Linked DNA regions of Drosophila melanogaster. The protein of the gene in region 1 purifies or fractionates together with the protein of each later gene. This does not show direct contact. Each region holds a gene or a part of one and is shown in the gene's direction. Other genes may lie near its edges. The genes, in order: CG8611 and Ns2.

Region 1 (11,691 bases):
CATGAATCGATCTCAAGGTTACAGCCATTACGTTAGGATTAGTTTCGGCGCCAAATTCACTTTATATATCAAGTAAGAATTGCCTGCTTTTCAGATGCTCTTCACTATTATTCCGAATTTTTTAAATTCCATGCGGATGTTATCTTATGTGCAATCGAACTTATGCGTTCCATTGACTTGTGCAAAGTGCAATAAGTCAACTTGATTGTAGTGTGAAAATAGAAAAGCTCGTTTTGCTTTTGACAGTTCATGATAGATTGAATTGCAGAAGCTGTTGATAAATTGGACAGCTGATACAAGGCCAAAGTTTGCTCCTATGGCGAATTGGTTGCAAGAGGCGCTGATACACAGCCATTTTTCATGTAAACACTCGCATTCTAAAACTTTTACTAGCTAACAGCTTGTGTGCGAATTTTAAAGGGGTAACAAGGACCCTTTTTTTTAGGATGCACTGTCCATGAGTACTCACTATAGTCTGGGCATTTTGGCCAGGGGAACAGTCACCTCCACGTTGACCAGCCATCCCTCGAAGCCGAAGTGCTCACAGAGACGGGTTAGAGCCTCCACGGTGCTCTCGACACTCTCTTCGCTGGCCAGAAACTCGTCCAGCCGTGCGGTAGCCTCCACGATGAACGTGCCCACCACCGGAACTCCGTGGCGATGGGCGGCATTCAGCCAACCACAGGGCGGAATGGTCACGTAGTCGTGGCTGAAGTAACAGAAGTAATCCACGGCTGACCAGTGCACGAATCGATAGTCGTCGTACTTCTGGGAGCTGTGAAAGTGCCTGGCAAAACACAAAAAACCATTAAAAAAAACTTTATTTTCGGACCCCTCTGGCTTCCAAGTTTAATGAAACCGCATAGCTTCGCCTGTTTTTGCGGCAGATATTCATTAGTACAACTTCGATTGCATCAAGTGGCTTGAAAATTAGTAAGTTGCAATACATTTGCATTGACCTGACATGGGCTTTTTGTTAGGTAAATTCGTAAAGGGATTGCATCCCAGGTACCCCCTCCTTTTGTTGTTAAACTTCTCAGTTTAAGGACTCACCGATCCTCGAGGTAGTTGCCCATCATGTCGTGGCAGACGAGCAGTTCCCGGCGATTATCCTCGGTCACCTGGCGCCGGGTGCTGCCCACGAAGTCCGCCTGGCGGTCCAGATAGACGGGTGTCGTTCGAACGCTGGTGTCCAGTGGCAGGACGTACTCGCGCCAGTCGATGTTCCGGCTTCGCACCCGAAACTCCAGCAGCTGGCGGTTATCCTTGATAGGCTCCGCCTCCAGTTGGGCTGCAAGGGCGGGGGATATGTAAAGTCCACGTCGTAAAGACATTACTTCTAAGATCTTTGCGCGGATGCGAACCGCTCGAGGGCTCAGTGGACAATGGAGAATGGGACAGCGGTTCGCTACTAGCTAATCTCTAGCTTATGTTTTTATATCTCGAATATTTGTGCCATGAAATGGCAATGGGTTGCCTGAGCCCCACTGGAAAAAAAACAGTTTGCCTAGTTTATAACACTTTGGGTTGTTGAACAGTTCTCTAATTCAAAAACCAGACAAACTAAAACTTGCATGTATTTAAGTACCTTAATAGCGACTTATTTATTGCCTTCAAGGGGTATATGTATTTTATGGAACATTCTTAGCTAATAAATTCTGTAATTCTCCATAATAAAAAGCGTTATACTTTCCATATTCGAATACCCATTAAACGTGAATAAGTGAATTTTATAACCCAATTACCGGCGTTTAGTAGCATTTTTACAACGCTCGTAGAACGAGCTGAATTTCTTTCTTCTGCATTTTCCGCATAAGCACTTAAAGTTTTTCAATTTTCGCATTCGCCACTTGACCCGCTGAATTTGTCACGGTCAAACTAGCGAGCTGGTTATTATTTCCGCCAGATAATTTCAATGGCGATTAAGTGCAGCTGTTATGCAAATTCTTGCTCCAATTAAATAATAGTATCCAGTGTCATGAATAATATAAAAGGTTCAGTTTAGCTGAGATAGTGGGGGAAATTAGATATCTTAACCTAAGAGAGAGTGTGAGAACTCTAAGATACATGCCGTGAGCAATTATCCTGTTATATGCCTCACAATATTAACGAGTAATCTATCTATATTTATACAAATGTATTGCTGCTACTTAAAAGCAAGAGATAGTTGTGGAAATAAGCAATCTTAATGGGATTGTGCAGCAGTTGCTAACCAGAAAGGATTGCCGGTCTATAAATACCCCAGACAGCCATTTAATCATGAGTCGAGGGGTTAGTGTGGGGTTAAGTTAACCCATGCTGGCTGCAGTTGGCGCTTTTCAATTAGCCAACGCCGCCGGGAACGTCAACTGCACTTAATGCGCGGTTAAATAACGGGTGAACGCTTTATTTTCATTACCACGCAGGCAGGAGTTTCCTTTAAAGTTCGCAATTTTCCGGGGGGAAAAGCGAAAACAAATGATTCAGTTATCGCCCTTATCGCTGGCGGTCCAAAAAACTCCCAACTCCCAACTTTTGTGTTGCACGATTTTTGGTACGTGAGCCCTGAAAATGGCATTATATTGGATTGCGATGCGTGGCATAGTATGCCGTTTTTTGGACATGAATTATTCAAGTCGAAAGCCGAGTTAAAGCCACTTCACTAACGGGTTTTCGGTTTGGGCCTGGTCAAAAGCGACCTTCGCACTCATTTCGATTGCAGTTGCAGTTTCTGAATGTGCAGCATGGAAACGGAAGGATGCGCTGCTTCCTGTTGTGTTTGCTGCTGCACTGCGAGAAAATTTAGCCAGTTAGAGGTTTCTTTCAAATGAACCATGGCCACAAGGGCTCATTTCGGTGCGCAGTGCTGTTGTTTTACACCTTGAATTTATTTCTAAGGCTTATGGATGCGGTGCAATTCGTTTTTCTCAGTGTGCTTGGGCGAAACTTTTTGCAACTGCAGCAGATATGGCAGGGAAAAGGACGACAGGCGTGACGTTTTCAAGCAATTTGTGCCTGGGCGTTACTTTAATCTATCACGGATGCCAGGATATGGATTCTGGCCAGGAACAATCCCTGCATACGAAATGATCCAAAAGTCTATTACTATCCTTGGTCAGATAAAAGGGACACGCTTAAAGGATTCATGATGAACAAAGAGTGCTATTGCTTATGTTCGTTCAACTTTAAAGCGAATGATAACTTCGGTAATCTTAGCAAATTTTCTAGTTTTACTGATCTCTAAATCTCTAAAGTACACTATTTATAGAATGACATCTATGTACATACCAAGAAAACGTATTTAACAAACAGAAACATTATCACTACTCAAATTATAGAATGAGTAATAGAGAGCTTTAAAGATAAGGTTGTTATTATGAACTAACAAAAACCCATGTCGCTTACTCTATTCAATTTTTTTTTTACTACTTTAAAAGTAGTAAATAATAGTTGAATATATTTATTTCAATAAAATGAAAGTTCACTTTTCCCTAAAAAACAAATAGTGCAATAGAGACTGATATATGTGTCAGAGAAAGAGATGGACTTACAGCATCTACAGGTGTTCTTGTCTTGGCACTTTTCGCGTTGCACTGTCTCTTTCTCGCATGCTACCTCCTTAAGCTCACCCCCTCCCTCTTCAGTTCTCTTCTTCTTCACGGGAACAACTTCTTCTTCTTCTTCGGTGGTAATGCCGGTGATTTTGTCATTTTCGCTCGCTTTATCATTGTTTTCCATCACTTTGCTGATGCTTGCCAGTTCCTTAGACTCCAAACTATCCATCTTACAATTTCCAACAATTAATTTTGACCTGAAACTCCACAAATAAGCAACAATCAAATCGTCGAAAACTAATATGTTTATTTACTTAAAAACAGCTGACAGCAGTGCTCTTTCTCTTTCTCAGCAGTGATGTAAAACGGGCAGAGCAGTGCTGCAAAACACTACAGCCCGCGCAAATTTGAATGGCACTCAAAACGCGACAAAATATCAACTTCAGCAATGATTTTACTCTAATTTTGTTTTCTCTTCGCTAATTTCAGGTCCTGCTGGCGCCACCGAAAGACCTTGAGAAGCGAAGAGTGCGCCTGCACACATAAATTCCAATTAAACAAGGGCAAAGAAATTGAAGAACAGAAGGAGAAACCCAATAAAATATCCCAACCAGCTGCAATAGCAACAAATAGCCCGTTGAAACTTTGCTGGCCAGCGAGCCAAGTAGCCAAACATAAATAAAGGGCGCGCACATTTATTTATTACTTGACCCGAACTTTTCGCAAAATGCCAGCGGGTCGAGTGGCTGGCAAGGCCGGCTACTCCAATCACTACTACAATGGTGGGTTCTGTATGTGGATTATTCCCCTAACATTGATTTATTGTATGTTATGTTATGTTTTCTCCAGGACGCTCCTATGTGGGCATCAACGAGGAGATCATGTGGGTAAGCATCGGCATGGGCGTGACCATAGTGCTCCTGATCACGATCGCCTTGTGCTACATTGCGCGCGAGAAGTGCCAGAAGAGGCAGCGGGAGTACTACGTGACCGCATAGTTGTTGTACGCGGCCTGCCAAACGACGGAGCAGCAGGGGCATACCCGGGATGAGGTCATGGGCATGGAGGAGGGAGCTGGCAAATCGCAGAGCGCTGTCGGGGTTCCTGAGGCCAGTCCCGGGGGAGTATCACCATCGCCAGCAGGATCACAGGCAGCCGTCACCGTCATGCATTGGTCTGTGGTCGACATCTGTGCCCGCAGCTGGGGCTGACATGCCCACATGGATGTGAAAAACGAAGGAGAGCAGACACCCACGTATGTAAACCACCAGGGCCACCCAGCCGCCAGACCACAGAACCACCAGCCCATTCCACCCAGCACCACCCACCAAAAACCACAATTACTACGGAACCCCATGCGCTTCGCTGCCCAAGGCAGTTGAATGCGTGAAACTATTTTTTTTTTTTTTTGTTGGTCGTCGTCAAATGTCGCGTGCGAAACTCGTTGTAAGCATATTATATTTAGAGAAAGTTACTTTAAAATACAAACATGTTACTGAATTTGCCAAATACGAAATATATTAATATACAATATTAAATATAACGGGCTCTTGTGTTTTGCCAAATTCAACTAAAGATGTTTAAACGATATATTGTGCAATTTGAATTTAGCGCTTATGCTTCTTTTTTTCCTCATCTGGCAGCGCTATGTGCTTTTCTATGGGTAGCACTGGCGCGCTAACAGATGTAACCATACCTTTTCGCTGTGAGTGGCAAACGAAGAAGAAGAGCCACGCACGTTTTATTCAATTCGTTATTATTTACAAAAGTTTCGCGATTCTTCTTTGGTTGCGAGCATCAATTGTGCCAAAATGGTGGAAAATATATCACTGAATGTTACTGTAAAGTCGTCGGCTCGGAAAAATCAACAGGTTAGTGGCTATGTCTATGTTATTCAAGTGGTGTTTATATATTGTATATTTGATTTCAGCAGTCGCCCGCGCTTTCGGTTAAAAAACGTGCACAGAAATCCCAGGATTTCGACTTTCAATTCAATGTGGACAAGCCCAAAGTCAAGGCAATCGTTGTGCGAAGAAGGGCGCCTCCTTCGAAAGTTGAACCTACAAATTCATCAGTTCCCAATACCACGAAATCGCCGACGCCTTCAGTTTCCTCCAGCAAATCCGCAATTTCCACTCTTTCAGCATCCCCCAAAGCAAATGCATCCAACGATGATCTTATGTTCAATGTTAGCCCAACGAAACCACCTGTTAAGAGCGTTTTAGGCGACGATTTCATGCTAAATGTGACCACAAAGCCGGTGGTTGCCCAGAAAGCCAAGCCAAAAATCACACGAGCCGAAAGATTGGGCAAGAAACAGAGGCAGGGCAAGCCACTGACGAAGCTCAGCGAAGAGCAGATCACGCGGGCGCTGAAGAGCAACAAAAAGCCAAAAAATCCAAATCAATTACCCACGCCCGGTGACCTTTTCCGCGCTCAACTGGAGGAGGAGAGGCGGCAAAAGCGTCGTGAAGAGGGAGGAGGGGATCAGGAAGCCAGCGCCGATGAGGAGGATGCGAAGAACAACTCAGGAGGGGGATCTCCGAGGGTAAAACCGAGTTCAGCCGTTAAGGAGTCCAAAAAGTCATCAGATATTGAGGATTCCGGCGAATCCGGCGAAGAATCTGCAACATCCGATGAGGAACCAGATGAATCCAGTGCACAATCTCCTGGACAAGAAAAGGAACCCAAACAAACCGCGAAGAAACCACCGAAAGCCGAGGAAACCTCGTCCACAAACCGTTTTCGCACCAAGAAGATCGGCCTCTTCGACCAAAGCGACGTGGAGGCACTCAAGCAACTGGGCCAAAGAGCGGTGAAGCCCGTCAAGGAGACCATCTTTACAGGCTCTAAAATATCCACGTTGGGACTGCATCCTCATGCTGTAAAGAACTTGGAGGATCTGCTTAGCATTCGAGAGCTAACTAGCGTGCAGCAGAAGACCATTCCCGAAGTTCTCCAGGGCAAGGATGTGCTCGTACGTTCGCAGACGGGCTCGGGAAAGACCCTGGCATATGCTCTACCCTTGGTGGAACTGTTGCAGAAACAGCAGCCACGGATACAGCGAAAGGATGGCGTGCTGGCCCTGGTGATTGTACCCACCAGGGAGCTGGTGATGCAGACATACGAACTCATCCAGAAGCTGGTCAAGCCGTACACATGGATAGTGCCCGGTTCTTTGCTGGGTGGCGAGAGCAGGAAAAGCGAAAAGGCCAGGCTAAGAAAGGGCATCAACATACTGATAGGCACACCTGGTCGTCTGGTGGATCACCTGCTGCACACGGCCTCCTTCAAGCTGACCAAACTGCAGTTCCTCATACTGGACGAAGCAGATCGCCTGCTGGAGCTGGGCTACGAACGCGATGTCAAGCAGTTGGTGGAGGCCATTGACAAGCAGCGTGCGGAGTGCGAGGACAAGGAGCTTCCCCAGCTGCAAAGGATGCTGCTGAGTGCCACTTTGACTTCGCAGGTCCAACAGCTGGCCGGTTTGACCCTCAAGAATCCCCTGTACATAGACAACAGCGACGAGGCGGCGAGTGCGGCGCTGAAGAGCAAGGATGGCTACCAAAAGGAGACCATAGAAGCCTTGCTAGAGGTGGACGACGGACTGGGCGAGTACCAGGAGGATGTGACGGGTGTGCTGAGTATTCCCGAGAACCTGCAGCTCAGCTATGTGGTGGTGCCGCCAAAACTACGTCTGGTGGCACTGTCTTCGCTGCTGGCCAAGGAAGTGGACGCCAGTCCCAAGCAGTTCAAGGCGATTGTGTTCATGAGCACCACGGAGATGGTGAACTTCCATCACGACATGCTCAACGAGGCGTTGACCAGGCGAGTTCTCGACGAGGAGGACGAGCAGGAGAAAGGTGATTCGGATGACGACGGCGACATACCTTTACTGCAGGGTCTGCGCTTCTTCAAGTGAGTTGCTTTGATGTTTTGTAATGAATTGCACCTCCTAAGTGCTTGTTTCTTCCACAGACTACATGGCTCCATGACGCAGACGGAACGGCAGGGCGTTTTTCGTGGCTTCCGCGATTGCGCCAGCTGCGTCCTGCTGGCCACCGATGTGGTGGGTCGTGGCATCGATGTTCCCGACATAAAACTGGTGGTGCAGTACACGCCGCCGCAAACCACCGCCGATTTTGTTCACCGCGTGGGTCGAACGGCTCGAGCGGGCCGAAAGGGCAGAGCCGTGCTCTTCCTGACGCCCAGCGAGGCCCAGTTCGTGCGGCATCTGGAGAAGAAGCGCATCCGCATCCAGCAGGGCGACATGTACGCCTACCTGCAGACCCTGCTGCCCAAGGACGATGAGGCCAGGACGGTGCAGGAGGCGGCCTCCAATCTGCAGCACAAGTTCCAGACGCTGCTCGAGGATGATCGCGAACTACACGACAAGTCCTGCAAAGGTAGGTTCCTCTATTACGGCTGCACTCCTGCTATAATACGTCTTTCACTTGAATTGCTTTTGAAAGCTGTGCATTTCTAATGTATCTGAGTATAGAATGTTTATCTTTTGAGTCGCTTTAACTGATTTTCCCTTCGTTAATGCTGACTGCAATCAATACCAATTAATCGTACCATTACCACAAGCAGGCTGTCGGATTTTTCGTATTCAGAATATACGGAGAACCCCTACGTATCCTGTGGCATTGGACGAGTTCCCATGGCACTTACTTTTCCAATTGCCCCAACTCCGATATCCCTGGACAAACTAGCAATTTAATCCTTTCACCAAAGAACATTAACTTTGTAATTACGATTTTTTACAACACTCGGGTGGCTGAATACAAAAAAGGCACCAAGACAAACACACAAACTCTCGGCTATTTTTCCAATTATAAGTTGGAAGCCCGGGCCACGCCCCCGCTCTTTTGACCGCCCCCAGACGGGCGCAGTTATCATCCACGGGGCAGCGCGCGTTAAAAACACAAAAATTATTTCATATTTGAAGTTAATTTCGATTGCGTGTCAAATGATTCCCCCACTTCCGCTCCGCTCCGTTCTGTTCTGTTCGCTCCTTCGACGACCTCCAACCACCCAACCACCCCGCCCAACACCACCCCCTCTCGACCACCAACCCCCTGGCTGGCCACCACCTTCGTCCGTCATCGCGGCAAGTGACCACCAGCGACTTCTTTCATCGCCCGATCCTTTTTTCTGCCTTCATTTATTTCCCATTTTATTTTATTTGCTTTTCAAAACGCGAGTAGGGGAGCTACCCATTAAAAAGTAGTGAAAAGGGTATATTATATCAAGGGATGTTTTACCCAATCTAATAAGAGTACAATCAAAAACTAAGCTACTGCTTTCACAAATATTTCTTAGATAACAAACTATTTCATTTATTAATCACTGAGAATAGGAGTCCAAGTAGTGACGAATCGCACCAGGAGGGATGTGTCTTTGCACACCTATTTATACGAAATGAAAATCTGCTGTAGTTGTTCGATCATAGCGTGAAAACTATAAGCAGTATGGGACTTAAGACTTATGAAGTTCAAGAGGATAAGCGGTGAATGTAAAAATTTTAAAAATTCAAACTGATGGGGCTGTTTTGTAGAAATGTTGTAACTTTACGTTTACACAGTGCACTGTTCCTAATAATATTTTCACTAGGTATATCCACGTCTGCCAGCTATGCATTTGTCTACCATTCTGCTGAAAATGTAATTGCAGCGTTGAAAAGGCTGGAAAAAAGTTAATTAGATGTTACCAAGGCGCGTTTGAAGGGTTGAGTTGAATCCAGACGATATTTTCCCCATTTTCCTGCGATTGAAACATAAAGGACTCATAAAAGCGAGCGGCAGGCGAGTGGAAACGATTCTAATCGAAAAGAGGCACCCAAAATGAATCATAAATGGGGAAAAGGAACCAAAAAAACCAGGCAATGCGAATGGGGAAGATCCTTTGATGGCTGAGATGGCGACTGCGACTCGAAACAGGAAACGGAAACTGAGCGAAATATCGCAAAACAATGGCAAAACAGCAAGATAAATAAAGGATGAAGGATATATAAATACATTCATACACAGATACATTCATATAGGCGAGAGCGAGAGTCGGTCAAAATGGCAACGCAAATTGCACTTAAGCGCCGAGTCAAGCGTCAAGACAGGAAGCCACTTGGCAAAACTTAAGAGCGGAGCAGCCAAAATGCCCGAAAGAGACGACACTAGGCGGGGCGAAAGAGACAGGGCGATACATCCGGATTCGAAGTGGGCAGGGGAAAGGGTCCTGCTGGAGGATGCAGTTTTCTACTGCTGCTGCTCTGCTGCGTCCAATCAAAAAGCCATTAAAAAGTATTACGCTTGAACAAAACTGTACAAAGCAGCAGATAAAAGGCAGCCAGAGAGGGACGGCAAATGTGGGTGGGTGGTGTACGAAAGAGACGGGCGATGGAGGGACAAACGAGCTGGGAAAGAGAGGGAAGAACATCTGCGACTTGCATTGCATCGGTAATTGAAACAATTTTCAACTTGGAATTCACTTTTTGTCTTCAGACTTCAGGCTTTTTAAAGTTACAGTAGTTCGTGCTACAGTGCGTTTCGCAGATGTAAGACAATGGTAAATGGTAGAGAACAGGGAATGTAAAATGTTCTCCAAAGAAAGAAGATTATATATTCTTCTGACTATACTTAAGTTCTTGCGGATTCTATAATTGAAGACTATTTATTGAGGTCTTCAATCAATGAAAGTAATAATGCGTTTTTAAACCACCTAAAATGTATTGTATATTTCAAAATAACCACATTTCCCGATATATCTCTCTCTCGAAAAACATCTGTTTTTCAAACGCAGGATAATCCGCTGACATGCACGCTGATCCTCATAGTTCCCCTTTGACTTACAATCATTTTTTTGGCGTATTCTATGGCATATTTTCACTGCCTTGGTCCATTGGCCCATTGTTTGCCATTATACCGCTAAATGGAAAGAGTTCTGTTAATGCCTTTCGAAACTAAGCCCCTGATGACCCATAAGTCCCACGCTTTAGGGCGACACCCCCGATTAGTGGGTATCGAGTGAGGAAATCCCATCTAGAACCCTTCGTCTGGGGGTTGCGAAATGGCAATGGTAATAGAATGGCAATGGGTGGACTGAAAAACAATCACAACAATTTGCCACGCCTACACAAACCGCATGGACACGCGCTGAAGAAACCACCACAAAATCCGGAGGAGGAACACCCACACCCACACCCACAGCCAGAGAAGACCAAAAACCACCGAGACAATGGCATAAAAAGCCATTTTGTGTGGCTTCTGCGGTGGATTCCGCACTCTCTCCTCCACCACGAAACTTCTTTCCACGAAATGACATTTATTTTATTCGCCACTTCCGGCTGGCAGACGTCTCTAAACATCCGCTGCCGTCATACTTTTTGTTTGCCTAATGTCTGCCACTTGGCCGTAATCGCATTTGCGGCAATTAAGCCAGAACCAGAAAGCCCAGGGCTTGACTTCGAGACTTTGGTCCTTTGGTGCTTTGGTCCCCAAAAAAGGACACTCGCCACTATGAACTGAACTGAACTGAAAACCGGGATGCAGAGAGCACTGCTGCGAGTTAATTGCCGGGGCAGGAACGTCTTTGCATCCATCTCTGCTGGGCTTGCCACTCCTCATCCCTGTCCTCCATCAGTGCTTCCTGTTTTTCTGGGATCTGGAGTTCGTTCCGGAATCATCCTGCCGTCGTCCTGTGGCTGGAGGATTCGGTGTGTGTGGCCGGGATGTGCGGCTCTTCGGTAGTCAATTACGAACTCCTGGGAACGGAAGGGCGACTAGTTTATTAAAGCTAATTTAGCGGCGTACAGTGTGATGAATAATGCAAACATAGTTGGTTATAAGAAAACATAACAGTAATTTAAAACATGATTTTCAAGTGAGAAGGGACAACACCTTTTGTTTAGGTTGTTATTTGCAATAGATAGAAGATGGATTAGCAATTCGTTTTTATGATTTTTTACCATACGTATTATTCATATTATAATTTTTCTTTATATATATATGAAGACAAAACTTGAGTCACTTTCTGCTGACACTCATTGCTCTACCCGAATCCTTTACGTATCCTTGGAAAGGACTCAACTCTCCCCGCAACTCGCACTCGCATCTGTCTGGTTTCGTTTCGTTATGTTTGGAAAGTGTTGTTCTTTGGGCAT
Region 2 (11,988 bases), on another chromosome or scaffold:
GTAGAATTACGATAGGAAATTTATGGAGAATCCTAAAAAACAGACCGTTCTCTTGGGCAAAGGTGCTTGCTTCCAGAAAGGTCACATCACGCGCCTCCTCCAAGTCCTTTTTATTGCCCACCAAAAGGATCACAATATTTGGGCTGGCCAGAGTGCGAGCATCATTCAGCCAGTTTGTCAAAGCATTGAAAGAGTCCCGCGAAGTGGCATCGTAGACCAGGAGAGCTCCGGCTGCTCCGCGATAGTACGATCTTGTCACCGATCGGAATCTCTCCTGACCGGCTGTGTCCCATATCTGTAGCTTTACCGACTTGCCGCCCACGTTCACAATCCGCGAGCCGAACTCCACTCCGATGGTGTGCGAACTGTCGTCTTTGACTTTGATGGTACATCAAAATGTATAAAATGCATTAGGCGTGTACCATTTTCAGGCTACCACCAAACTTACACTTGCTCTCGATGAAGTGATGCAACAGACAACTCTTACCGCTGCCAGCACTGCCAATTATCAGGAACTTGAACAGGTAATCTAGGTGAGCGCCGAGCACCGATATTAATTAGTAAAATGCATTAATTAATTAAATGTGTGCTGACAAACCGTATGTTTCCGACATTGTTTTTGTTCGTCTTCTGCGTAGTTGTCTTCTTTGTTTGTTTTGGTTTTTCGGCCAGACTTCAGGACTATCGGATTGCTGGTGCGTATGGGCACCAGGAAGTGCGCAGGACACGATCAAAACCCGCAATATCCGTCGATAAGTAAGCGTTTAAACAATTAGAAAGCCAAAAATTACCTTAAAATCTTTGACTGGACTCACTTCAGTGAGAAGGTTCGCTACAAACGCGAAAATACCAACAAGGGGTGGGTGTGACCAGGTGGTTCAAAATATGATTCATATTGCAATTAAGTTTTTGTTTACTTTTAAAATATTTCCAAATATATGAAAATTGCCGAAAGCTACAAAGAAAAAACAAAATATGAAATGCAGCCCACAAAGGTTTATTGTCTTTTTTCAAAAACCCTCTTCTATTCATCACACAATTTGCATACATACATATATGCAATAAAAGTATAAAAGATGGTGGGCCCTGGTAATCCAACCCGGCACATAGTCTACGTATCCTTTTGCTTCTCTGGTTCGTAGTCTTGATAGCAATTAATGGGATCCTTGGCCGTATAAACTGAGTATGCCAATTTGCTGCCCTTGAAGTTCTGTAAACTCAGGGCAGAAAGGGAAAATTACTTAAAATTAACCATTCTGATAAGCACTATCTGCCGTACCTTCATATCGCCAGATATCAGAGTCCAAAGGAAAACGAACACCGCCGGTATCACAGTGGACAGGACAAACAGCTCGAATGTGTTAAGCTCCCCAAAAACGGATATTTTCATTTTAATTTCGTAATTTTTGATGAGTTCTTTGCGAATATTAGTTTTTGTTGATGACTAGTTGTTGTTCTCACGTAGGCCGCACAGTGTTGTCACACCTTGCTTTTAAAGTTTTACGCTATCCTACGGTCACACTGTAGTGGTATTATTTAGGACATTTGAAACTATTGCGTTCATTGCGAACATTTTGGTGCGTGTGAAAAGTTATTAAATCAACAAAAATGGCTTTCCGCATACCTTTTGGCAAGAAGCACGCTGAGATAGCGAGTTCCTTGTAAGTATATGCTGTCGTGCTTGATTCTGCATCATGAATTCATTAGTGTTCCCGCTCTTTTACTGCTACCAAAGCACACATTGCATAACCCCATCCAGAGAACTAAACTAGTTTCTTTTAATTCGTAGCATCCGATCTGGAGCCGGATTCGGAGGAGCTGCTGGCCTGGCCGTGCTTTACTACACCGACTGGAAGCTGGTCCTACAGTACGTGCCCATCTACGGATCCAAGTTCGAAAAAAGCGAGTAACCTTGCCTGCCGTAGTTGAATCCACAGTTAGCCTCGATGTTTTGCTTGGTGAATAAAATAAGTTAAAACGACCAAAGGGTATTACTGAGTATCGTATATTACAAATAACTTTGTAGAGGGCACAAGGATCGGTTAGATTATTTCTCTAGCTAACTAATCGCTAAGGCTTAAGTAACTGTTCCCTAAGTCTTACATGGCTAGCCTATTTTGATCAAGCATTGTATAAAAAAGTACAACGGCGAGCTGCCCATTCGATTGGAAGAGTACAAAACGGTTTCTTTTTTGAAAAGAGAAATATGAGATTGCGTATTTGGAAGCCCGAATAGACCGACGATTGAATCCTTTTAGACAAGTAATTTGGAATTTCGCTTAATAAATTCTAGTTTGAACCATAACTTTCCTAACAATCCGGTTCAACAAAGGAGGCGGGGAACAGCCCGGTTTTGTGGGTACGGGCATGGGTGCCCTTATACCAGCCGTTCTTCTGCTTCCGCTGGACGTAGATAATGTCGCCCAAATGTAGCTCTAGTTCAATGTCACTGTTTGGTGGATACGGCACAATGCAGCGGAATCGACTACGATAAAAGGTTGCATTAGTAAATCTCTAAGCTCACAATAATGTATTGCAAAACCCACCTTTCCCTCGTGCAGTAAGGAGACTTAGTGGTGGCGCTGGCCTTAATGGCCGCCTCCGTGATCATATTGCTGCTGGGACTCAGCACATGACTCGCATCTAGGCTGTGCGACTTCCGATGGCTGGGTGCAATAATCATATTGGCATGCAACTGGGATTGCGCTCCACCTCCAGGAATCACCTGTTGCTGACCGCCGGCGTAGACAGCTGGGGCCACGGAAGTAGTAGGTGGCGGCGGCGACGCGGCATTGTTGTACATACTGCGAAATGTAGCTGCATCTAATGATTGTCTCGCGCTGAATCAAAATCCAAGAGTCAGTTAAAAGTTAAAGCATTCAAATTAAGCCTAACGAACCAAATCAAGTGAGGACGTTCCTTGCTTCCTTTCACGCGTTGCGATCCGTACGAAACGCTGTTCGTAGAAGCGGAAGGCAGCTGCTTGGGTAGGAACTGCTGTTGTTGTGCCGCTGTCTTGGCTGCTGGAGTTTCATTGAGCGGTTGACTGTGCTGCAGCTGACTGGGGCACGAGCCGGATCTGAAGAGACAAAACAATTAAACTTTTATTCTGGTCTATAAAGATAACTTATTATTGCGGATCTAACCTTACATGTACTGGATGCAATTTAGCTGATGGGTTTGTTGTAAATTCCACATTTGTGCTAATAGCTTCTTTCGGAACTTGCTGCAAGGACGCTCCCGGAGATTTGGAGCGTGTTTTCATGTGAGTTAATCTCCTCATAAGTCCCACTGCTCCAGAGGAACTGCTGCTCGTAGTCGAAGCTGTGGCAGTTTCAGGCTTGGGCTCCGATTTTCTGCTGAACAGCGCCTCCACTGGTTTCGACCACACAGAGCAACTGGTGGTCGTGGCGGTAGCCTGCTGCTGACGAGGTGGCAAATCAGGCGGTTGCATGGACAGCATGTTGTTGAGTCGCACATCTGGTGCAACTGGATGCTGCTGTACTTGTGCCATCTGGGCGTCTGCATTTTGGGGAACATATTTCCATTGATGCATTAACTGCTGCTGGTCGCGGGCGCGCAGGGGCGTCAGGTAGTTGCCCGGGAACACTCCAGTGATGTCCAACCAGTTTTTTCCCTTGAACCAACCGTCCACACATCGTTCGGTCACAATGTAAACACAACCCTTTTTTAATTCCAGCTCATCCGTTTGGCGTGGTTTGTATGGGAACAGGGCTAAGTATCCCCAGGGTAAATTCGGTTGCATCTGCTGCTGAACAGTGGTCTTAAGTACACGCGATGTCTGTGGGGCTGACGTGGGTTTTAGAGCTGTTGAGCTGGAAACTTCCAAGCGGCTTAGTTCATGGGGCAGGCTAAGAATTTCAGCCGAATGGCGGTTGGTCTGCAGCAGACTTAATGGAGCTCCTCCTCCCAGCAAAGCATTTAGTGAGTGGCGTTTCTCCTTTGCTCCCTTGTCACGGAAACGAACAGACGCCGATCCGGAAGCTACTACATGTTGGGGGGTATTCGGCAGTGAGATTTGGTGATTCGGACTGCAGTTATTCGAGCTGGATGTGGAGCTTGAATTGCTGCTGCCCGGCGTGGAATTGGAGGATCCCGAACTGGATTCCGTGACCACCGTGGGATCAATAACTGGAACCGGAGGAAGGGCCCGCTGCCCCTGTTGCTTCGGTGGATGGCAGAATGGATGGGTGTGTAGCCCGCTGTCCAACAGCTTTTTGGCCGCTGCATTCAGCTCAACGAATGCTATTGGAAAGATTCCGATGGTCTGGCCAATTCGTCCTTCTGCCCAATTATGATCAACTCGGCGCATTACCTGTATTACAGTGCTTTTCTTAAATTCGAGGCATCCCTCCTCGTCGTTGGGCCCCATCTTAAAGTCATACATGGCAATGCACTGCGGCATGGGCAGCGGAACCGATACCTTGACGTAGTTGATGGGAAATGTGCCCTCCTGACCATTCGCTTGACCCACAAACCAGTTGTTGTCGATGCGATGCTTGATCAGTATCAGATCCCCTTTCTTGAACTTTAGATCGGTGGCTTCACCGGAGGCGAAGTCAAAGAGGGCATAGGCGTGGGGGAGTAGAAATCGACGTTGCTTGTGACGAGCCGGCTGATGAGATTGCTGATGTGACTGCAGCTGGAGTAGTTGGTTGTCAGGCGGGGCCACTGATTCCGCTGGCGGCTGAGGTTTGGCCCTTTCCGGCTGTGTTTCAGTCTCCTCTCCCTTTTCTTCTCCTTTGCCAGCTGCTGCATTTTGTTTCATGCCTGTGAGAATTAAAGAAAGGGTGTTTAAAGGTAGGTAAAGACCAGGTAAACGCCATATTCAATTGCCAAAGCCACTTTGCCGCACTCATAAAGTCAACCATTCTTTGATTTTGAGCGTAGGCTGTTGTGCTGTGCCAGTTTAGGTTGGTGTGGGCGTTAGCTGTTACCTTCTAAGATTCGCATCAGCAAGACGTTTGGAGGCAGCTCATCAATTTTGCAAGAGACCAGGATGCGGCACTCCGGGCATCGCAACTTGTGCTGACTGGCCACAATGTCCTGGCATAGAATGATGAAATCATTCGGTTATATGATATATATGTAGCAAACCCACAACAATTACTCACCTGCAAGCATTTGCGGCAGAAGGTGTGCTGGCATGGCAGCACCTTCGATGTGGTGTCCAGTCGCTCAAGACACACGGAGCACTCCAACAGGTCGTTTAACGTGTGCTCGTCCATCTTGCCAGTATGCAAAATCTCAAGGATGGTCACTATTTGAATTTCGTGCAGGGCCACATTCCAAAACACACACACATGCAGGTACTGGCTCACGCATACGCAATCCCAAGACGCGGTTGGGAAATAAATTTAGCTCAAATGCTAAAATCTACTATTATAATCGCTACTTGTCGTTCTTAATGCACTAAATCAGATTATATTATCGTTGCAATAGGCAGGATTCAATGTTTAATTTATTAAGTTTGCCAAGTGCAGCCAAAGCTCGTGGCCAAGCGGATACAAATGTACATAGGCACACGGATATAAAACCAGCTTGATACTTGAACACAGTGATGGTCATAAGTATATGCCCAATAGGAATAGTAGTTCCATAACATTTAACCAAAAAGAAAGAAGCTAAGAGAGTACTACATGTTTTTTAAATTCACTAAATTTGCAAAAAATTATTTAAATACCACATGTGCCCCGGTTATAGTTGCATTTAATAAATGCAAATAATTGTTAAGTTGTACCCAAACTGGTGTTTATTACTGTTGGGATTTTAGTGTGGCCAGTCCTCGTAGTCGATATTTTCTGAAGCGCATTTTAGTGTTGGATACTAAGTCCAGACAGTGCTGAAAAACGCACGATCCCTTTGTTTTTTTATTTCATATAAAAACACGTGTGGTTTGGTTTGATCGTGTTCAAATATACGATTTGATTTATAAACAAGGCACACGACATTCTTGAGACACCATGCCAAAGGTACGCAGCACCCCGGGTAAGCCCCGGACGCAGGGATTCAACCACTCAAACCACTCCATGAATCCGGAGCGCCCCAAAAGCGGTCTCAAGGGAGTCGCCCACCCCCGCACTAAGGGCACCATCAAGCGGCTTCAGATGTACCGTAACTTCAAGGCCAAGCGCGATCGCACTGGAAAGATCCTCACGCCCGCCCCCTTCCAGGTGAGATTTAGCTTTACAACATGTATCTTCGATAATTCTTATCTTTGGATTCATAAGATTTACCATCACTTATAGACATAGGAAGGATTTATTGCAACATGAATATCCAATAACCATTGTTTAGTTTTCAAAATTATCATCTACTTCACAAAGGTGCAATTAAAACGATCGACTCAAAATTAAAAGCATTAAAAGATAAAAAGATTTCATAAGTATATTTTGTTACGACTTATTATCCGTATAATAATTTAATTACAAATCTTATGTTTTCATTCTTGTTGTAAATATATAAAAGAAAAAATTAAATACAAGAGAGAAAATGCCGAATATGTTTTCCACAACCCATTTAATAATTCATACTAATCCTGGAAATGTGCTTTATTTTAGGGGCGCCTGCCTGCTGGAACAATGGCTCGAGTTGAGCCTACGCCCAAGTGGTTTAGCAATTCCCGCGTTATCTCGCAAACTGCTTTGCAAAAGTTCCAGGATGAGATTGGCAAGGCTGTCAAGGATCCCTACCAGGTGATCATGAAGCCATCCCAGTTACCGGTAACTTTACTGAACGAGGCAGCAAAATACAAAAGGGTTCATTTGCTGGACACCGAGAGCTTCGACAGTACCTTTGGGCCCAAAAAGCAGCGCAAGCGCGTCAGCCTAAAGGTTCGCGATCTGGAAGATTTAAGCAAGGCGGCCGATGACCAGGCCGATAAGTACGATTCAGCTAAGGATTTAGATCTAATCCGCGAGGATACTGGCGAAAAGAAGGCCGTCCGTGATTGGGTGTTCGGTGCGGGGCAGAGTAAACGCATCTGGAACGAGTTGCACAAGGTGGTCGATGCGTCCGATGTGCTGCTTCAGGTTCTTGATGCCCGCGATCCCATGGGCACGCGCTCGAAGTACATTGAGGAGTTCTTGCGCAAGGAAAAACCGCACAAACATCTATTTTTCATTCTGAACAAGGTTGATCTGGTACCGGTGTGGGTAACGCAGCGTTGGGTGGCTATTCTTAGTGCCGAATATCCTACTATTGCCTTCCATGCCTCCCTACAACATCCTTTTGGAAAAGGTAAGTTTATAAAGTAAAAATATCAATTATTTGTCATAAAAATCAATTATTTTTATAGGTGCGCTCATCAATCTATTCCGTCAGTTGGGCAAACTGCATTTGGACAAAAAACAGATCAGCGTGGGCTTCATTGGGTATCCCAACGTGGGTAAATCTTCTGTTATTAATGCGCTACGATCAAAAAAGGTTTGCAAGGTAGCACCAATTGCGGGGGAGACGAAAGTATGGCAGTATATAACGCTAATGAAACGCATCTTCTTGATCGATTGTCCTGGCGTGGTGTATCCCACCGCGGAGACTGACACCGAGAAAGTGTTGAAGGGTGTGGTGCGGGTGGAGCTCGTCACAAATCCTGAAGATTACGTAGACTCTCTGCTGAAACGCGTGCGTCCGGAGTACATTTCAAAGAACTACAAAATTGAACACTGGAACACATCCACGCACTTTTTAGAACAGTTGGCTCAAAAGACCGGCAAGTTGCTAAAAGGCGGTGAACCGGACGTTACGGTAACAGCCCGTATGGTGCTTAACGATTGGCAACGAGGCAAACTTCCTTTCTACGTTCCACCCGAAGGATTCGCAGTTCCCAAATCCCAGGAGGGTAAGGAGGAGGAAGTAGTTGCAGAGGATCCCAACGAAGATGCTAAATCCGAGGCACCTACATTCGTCAGTGAGTCTGTAAAGAAGGCGCGCGAGTTTAAGCAGATCCAAGATTTTCGAAAAATACGCGTGGGTCTTGAGTATGAGCAGGAAGATGTGAAGGATCTTGATCACATAGATCTAGAGCTTTTAGAGCAACAGAAGGCCGAGCGTGCGGCAAAGAAAAAGGCTCGCATCCACAACCTCGGTGAAGAGGACGAGGAGTCTAGCGATGGAGCGGACGAGTTTTACTCGGAGGACGAGTACAATGAGGACTTGCAACGCGTTGTGCACAAGAAGGCCAAGTCAAAGAAGCCACAACAGCTGGCCATCACATCGTCTGGTAAATTCCGAGTGGCCAAAATACAACCTGGTGATTCGGATGGTGCTGGCAGCTCTGACGACGATGGACCCAGCACTTCAAAGGCTCCTCGGTTGACTGCAAAGCAAAAACGCTCCCTGGAGCGCAGTCAGAAACGCAAGAAGATTGGCAGCAACTTTTACGAGACGACAAATGTTAAGAATCGCAATAGAAACAAAAAGAAGGACGCGTAAAATATTACGTTTACACTCTAGGCTATATTTTCTTGCAAGGAAAAACTACACTTTAAGAATCCAAATAAAAAGTTGATCCTACTCTGAGCACTGCTTCTTCTTGGGAATTTTGCGGCCACATAAGTCGGTTCGGCTGCACATACTGGGTTCCTCCTCATCGGTGCTGGCCTCCGAGTCACTAGACTCCGTGTAGGAGCCGATGCCCGGAAGTATAGCGATGCACTTTAGGGCCCCCTGGTTGTATTTGTTTGTAATTAATGTGGTGTTCGTTGTCTTATCAGCAGGGTCCTTGGTTGCTTCATTTGTCGCTGTCTGTTCGACCTCATTCTCAGTGATTTTGGCTACTTTACTGGTGGTGGGCAGTTCGCCGTTTTTTCTCTTGATGCCCTGGCCGAGCAGCGTCTTCTGAGTGCTACGCCCGACCGAAGCTCCCGCGGACTTCGCTGTGGTTTTTAGTTCAGCTTGCAGTTTCTGAGGGTTGCGGAAGTTCGGGTGATTGTAAAATCAATTGATTGTTGCTGTAACTTTACCCACCTTGTCTACACTCTCCTCCTGCAGCTTTTCCACACGATTGCGAAAATCCTTTAGTTCTAGCTCCTCGTCGCGCATTTGCTGGCGCTCCGCGTGTATTTTATGGGCATCGACCAATTCCAGAAACTGCACCTCATCATCGTCCAGACCACGGATGAGGTTTTCTATACGTATATTACGCATGTTAGGATGGCCAGATTGCATTGTTTATGGCATAGTCTTACTCAGCTTGTGGGCTTCCTCGAACTCCATGTCCTTCTTGTCCTTATTTTGTTTGAGGCGTTCATAAAGTGAGCGCCCATCGTAGGGTTCCTCAGGTCGTTCTAGTGGATCCTCCGGCTGGCGTACACGCTCCCATTCCTCCTGACGTCTCTGCCTTTGCTCGGTCGCCTCAGCTTCAGTCACAAAGCCCGAACTCATGCTGTACTTTCGTAAAATTGCTCTTTTTTACAGACCACAACTATTGCCAGTGTGGTGAACGTCGAATTAGCAGCTGTGCGATGATATAGAAGTGTTGGTAGTGGCTCGTGAAAATTTGAACTAGTGGCGGGAATTGCTAATGCTTCTGTGTCATTTTAAGTTAAACGTTGAAAAACTTTCCAAGTCCCACTAAAATGAACTATCCTTATAAACTCTTTTAATATGACAGCGCCTTACTCTACCAACTGGAACACTGGGGCGACCACGGGCCCTAAGCCTGGCTCGATTTATTTCGGCTATCTGCACAAAAACTGATTTTTGGGCGGTTGTCATTTCTCGCCATTTTCTGCCGGCTATTTTGGCCAAGGAAATCGGTTTCAGATGGCAAATGTCCCGCTTTTGAAGATTAATCCGAAAGTGGTCAAAGAAAATAAAGTAGGGATTAGCGGATGGGAACTTGCTTGGTCGCATTGTCCATGGTAAAGGCGAGACACTCATCCGGAACATTCTGAAATTTTGAAAATTCTTCCTCAGGTAAATCGAAACAAATACCCTTCACATGAAAATCACTGGTTACATGACTTTATTTCAGGAATATCTCAATAGGAAACATCTATATAGGATGGGGCTTTGCTAAATTCTCCAATAAAGAGCTACAGGATTAGCAAAATACACGATATTCATACACACATATGCAGGCGTTTTAGGTGAAGACGGTTTCTCGTATTTTGTTTATACATCCATAAATTCTCGGTTCGTCCGTTTCCAATGTATATACTTAGTTTATAGACATAATTGAGGTCAGCACACTTACAACGAACAGCAAATAGGTAATACGACTGATTCTGAACTTCGCCGTGATTGAGTATACATTATAGGATAATACTGTTAGGATTGGGTCCGGATCATGATGTATCCGAATCTACAGGATGCTGCAGGAGCTTTTCTCGCGAAACGGATTCACCTTCTGTGTGAAGCCGCTGAGCAGGCAGTCTTCCTCCTCGTGCTCCAACATGTACTTCATCATCAAGGAGCATGCCACCGAGACGGGCATACGCTCCATCTCCACTTCCCGCCGTAGCTGCAAGTTGATGGAGCGCTGCTGTTGCAAATTAGCAGCCATTATGTCCAGGACGGCTGTCTCCGCGAGACCTATGGTGGTTGCTGGGATGCTAATACTGCTGTAATATTGATTTGATTCAATTTGAGTTGTGCTTATTTCGATTTCCCCAATATTGTAAGCGAGAAATATGCGCTCTACTTCTCGATGAAATATTTTATTGGGGGCGCTGAAAAATCAATATTTATAAAAAGTGTGACCGCGTTGAGAATGGTGCTTTAGTTTTCCGACTTTTGCCAGCCGTTGGTGAAAGCTTCTTGTTGGTGTGGGGAAAGATTTCACAGTTTTTGAATCTTGGAATAACTATAAGCTTTCATAAATTGTATCAATATATGTCCTATTGGCTATAGATTTTTTTTATCAATGTTTTGTACACCGTTTATTTTATTTATTGCAAAAATATATAGTTTACAACTGTTTTTATTTAAAGTTAATTATGTGAGCATGCTGGAAATAAAAATGAAATTATGAGTAAAATTAATTAGGTGATGTTTCTAAAAACTTACTCTGGCATAAACTCTGTCGACTGCTTAGCATGCGCCTCCTCCGGATTCAGGTTCAACTCCTTGGTAATGTCTGAGTCCGGTTTCCGGAATGCATTGGCCATAATCAGAATGTTCTTGGCTATTCTTTTCTGATCGATTCGCTTTTGAGCCGTATCTGTCCGTCTATTAGCGTTCTCCGACATCCGCTGCTCTATTGGTAAATCTGGTCCTGGTGGAGATTGGAGCGGTTCTGGATTTGTCCAGATCTCAGTGCCAGGTGTTTCCTTTCCTGTCGTTGGGGATATGGCCGGACGTGCTGGTATCAATGGGGAACGCACACAGACTCTGTAAAAGAATATTAATAAACATTAAATCATAATTTAATCATAGTGTTTTTACTTTGTAATGAAAAATGTAGAGAAGCTACGAGCTTCATAGGAACAAAAACAAACTTTTATTACAAATCCTTACATGACTAGTCACACTCTTGGCTTGTTTTTTTTTAACATTTACGAATACATTTTACATAAAACTGGTTAAAAAGTAGAAAACATTCGATATATGTATATAGGTAATATTTCACTCCTTATTCGGCTGGACCTTCTGGCTTGGCTCACTGTCCTCATTCCCGTTCGGATTCGACCTAGAACGAGTCAGAAATGGGAGAGAACAATGAGCCAGTCCTGGAGAAGGAATCAAAAACCAGTTCAAGACTTAAAACTATCGTTCCGACCCGAATTCAACATGCAAAGCATCCCACTTACTTATTGACATCCTCCAGCTTCTTAAGCAGGCGCTCGTTTTCTCGGCAGACTATCTCCTGATCCCTAAGAATGGTTTCCCGCACGGTGAACAGATGATTATTCTCCTGCCTCAGGGATTCGTTCTCCACCATGTATAGCTTAACAAGCTCGGCGAGTTCGGAGCCATCAAGCTCCGGTAATCGCTGCAAATCAACTTTGGGCACTGGTACTCCGC

The links.
Region 2: the proteins of CG8611 (region 1) and Ns2 purify together in Drosophila melanogaster (affinity purification with mass spectrometry, with the first as the bait; one large-scale study listed by BioGRID). This does not show direct contact.

Annotation. Positions count from the first base shown.
Region 1 is NC_004354.4:17,415,696-17,427,386, reverse strand, and holds the start of CG8611 (uncharacterized protein), read left to right. Parts: upstream 1-5,241; 5' UTR 5,242-5,344; coding exon 5,345-5,404; intron 5,405-5,463; coding exon 5,464-7,451; intron 7,452-7,511; coding exon 7,512-7,939; intron 7,940-11,542; coding exon of another isoform or gene 11,543-11,553; exon of another isoform or gene 11,554-11,691. Other genes in the region: ENGase (Endo-beta-N-acetylglucosaminidase), read right to left, coding at 470-787, 1,054-1,291, 3,531-3,762; CG12994 (uncharacterized protein), read left to right, coding at 4,261-4,315, 4,383-4,531; CG46464 (uncharacterized protein), read left to right, coding at 4,589-4,744. UniProt on the Drosophila melanogaster protein: Probable ATP-dependent RNA helicase.
Region 2 is NT_033778.4:17,562,325-17,574,312, reverse strand, and holds Ns2 (nucleostemin 2), read left to right. Parts: upstream 1-5,856; 5' UTR 5,857-5,984; coding exon 5,985-6,194; intron 6,195-6,581; coding exon 6,582-7,260; intron 7,261-7,318; coding exon 7,319-8,454; 3' UTR 8,455-8,532; downstream 8,533-11,988. Other genes in the region: Rab4, read right to left, coding at 46-378, 449-529, 599-614; CG42239 (uncharacterized protein), read right to left, coding at 1,112-1,210, 1,280-1,390; UQCR-6.4 (Ubiquinol-cytochrome c reductase 6.4 kDa subunit), read left to right, coding at 1,609-1,661, 1,790-1,910; POSH (plenty of SH3s), read right to left, coding at 2,311-2,485, 2,547-2,840, 2,900-3,079, 3,147-4,791, 4,959-5,067, 5,136-5,249; CG14480 (uncharacterized protein), read right to left, coding at 8,533-8,925, 8,989-9,149, 9,210-9,405; CG46428 (uncharacterized protein), read right to left, coding at 9,595-9,876; CG43324 (uncharacterized protein), read right to left, coding at 10,328-10,528; Klp54D (Kinesin-like protein at 54D), read right to left, coding at 10,960-10,972, 11,032-11,355, 11,775-11,988.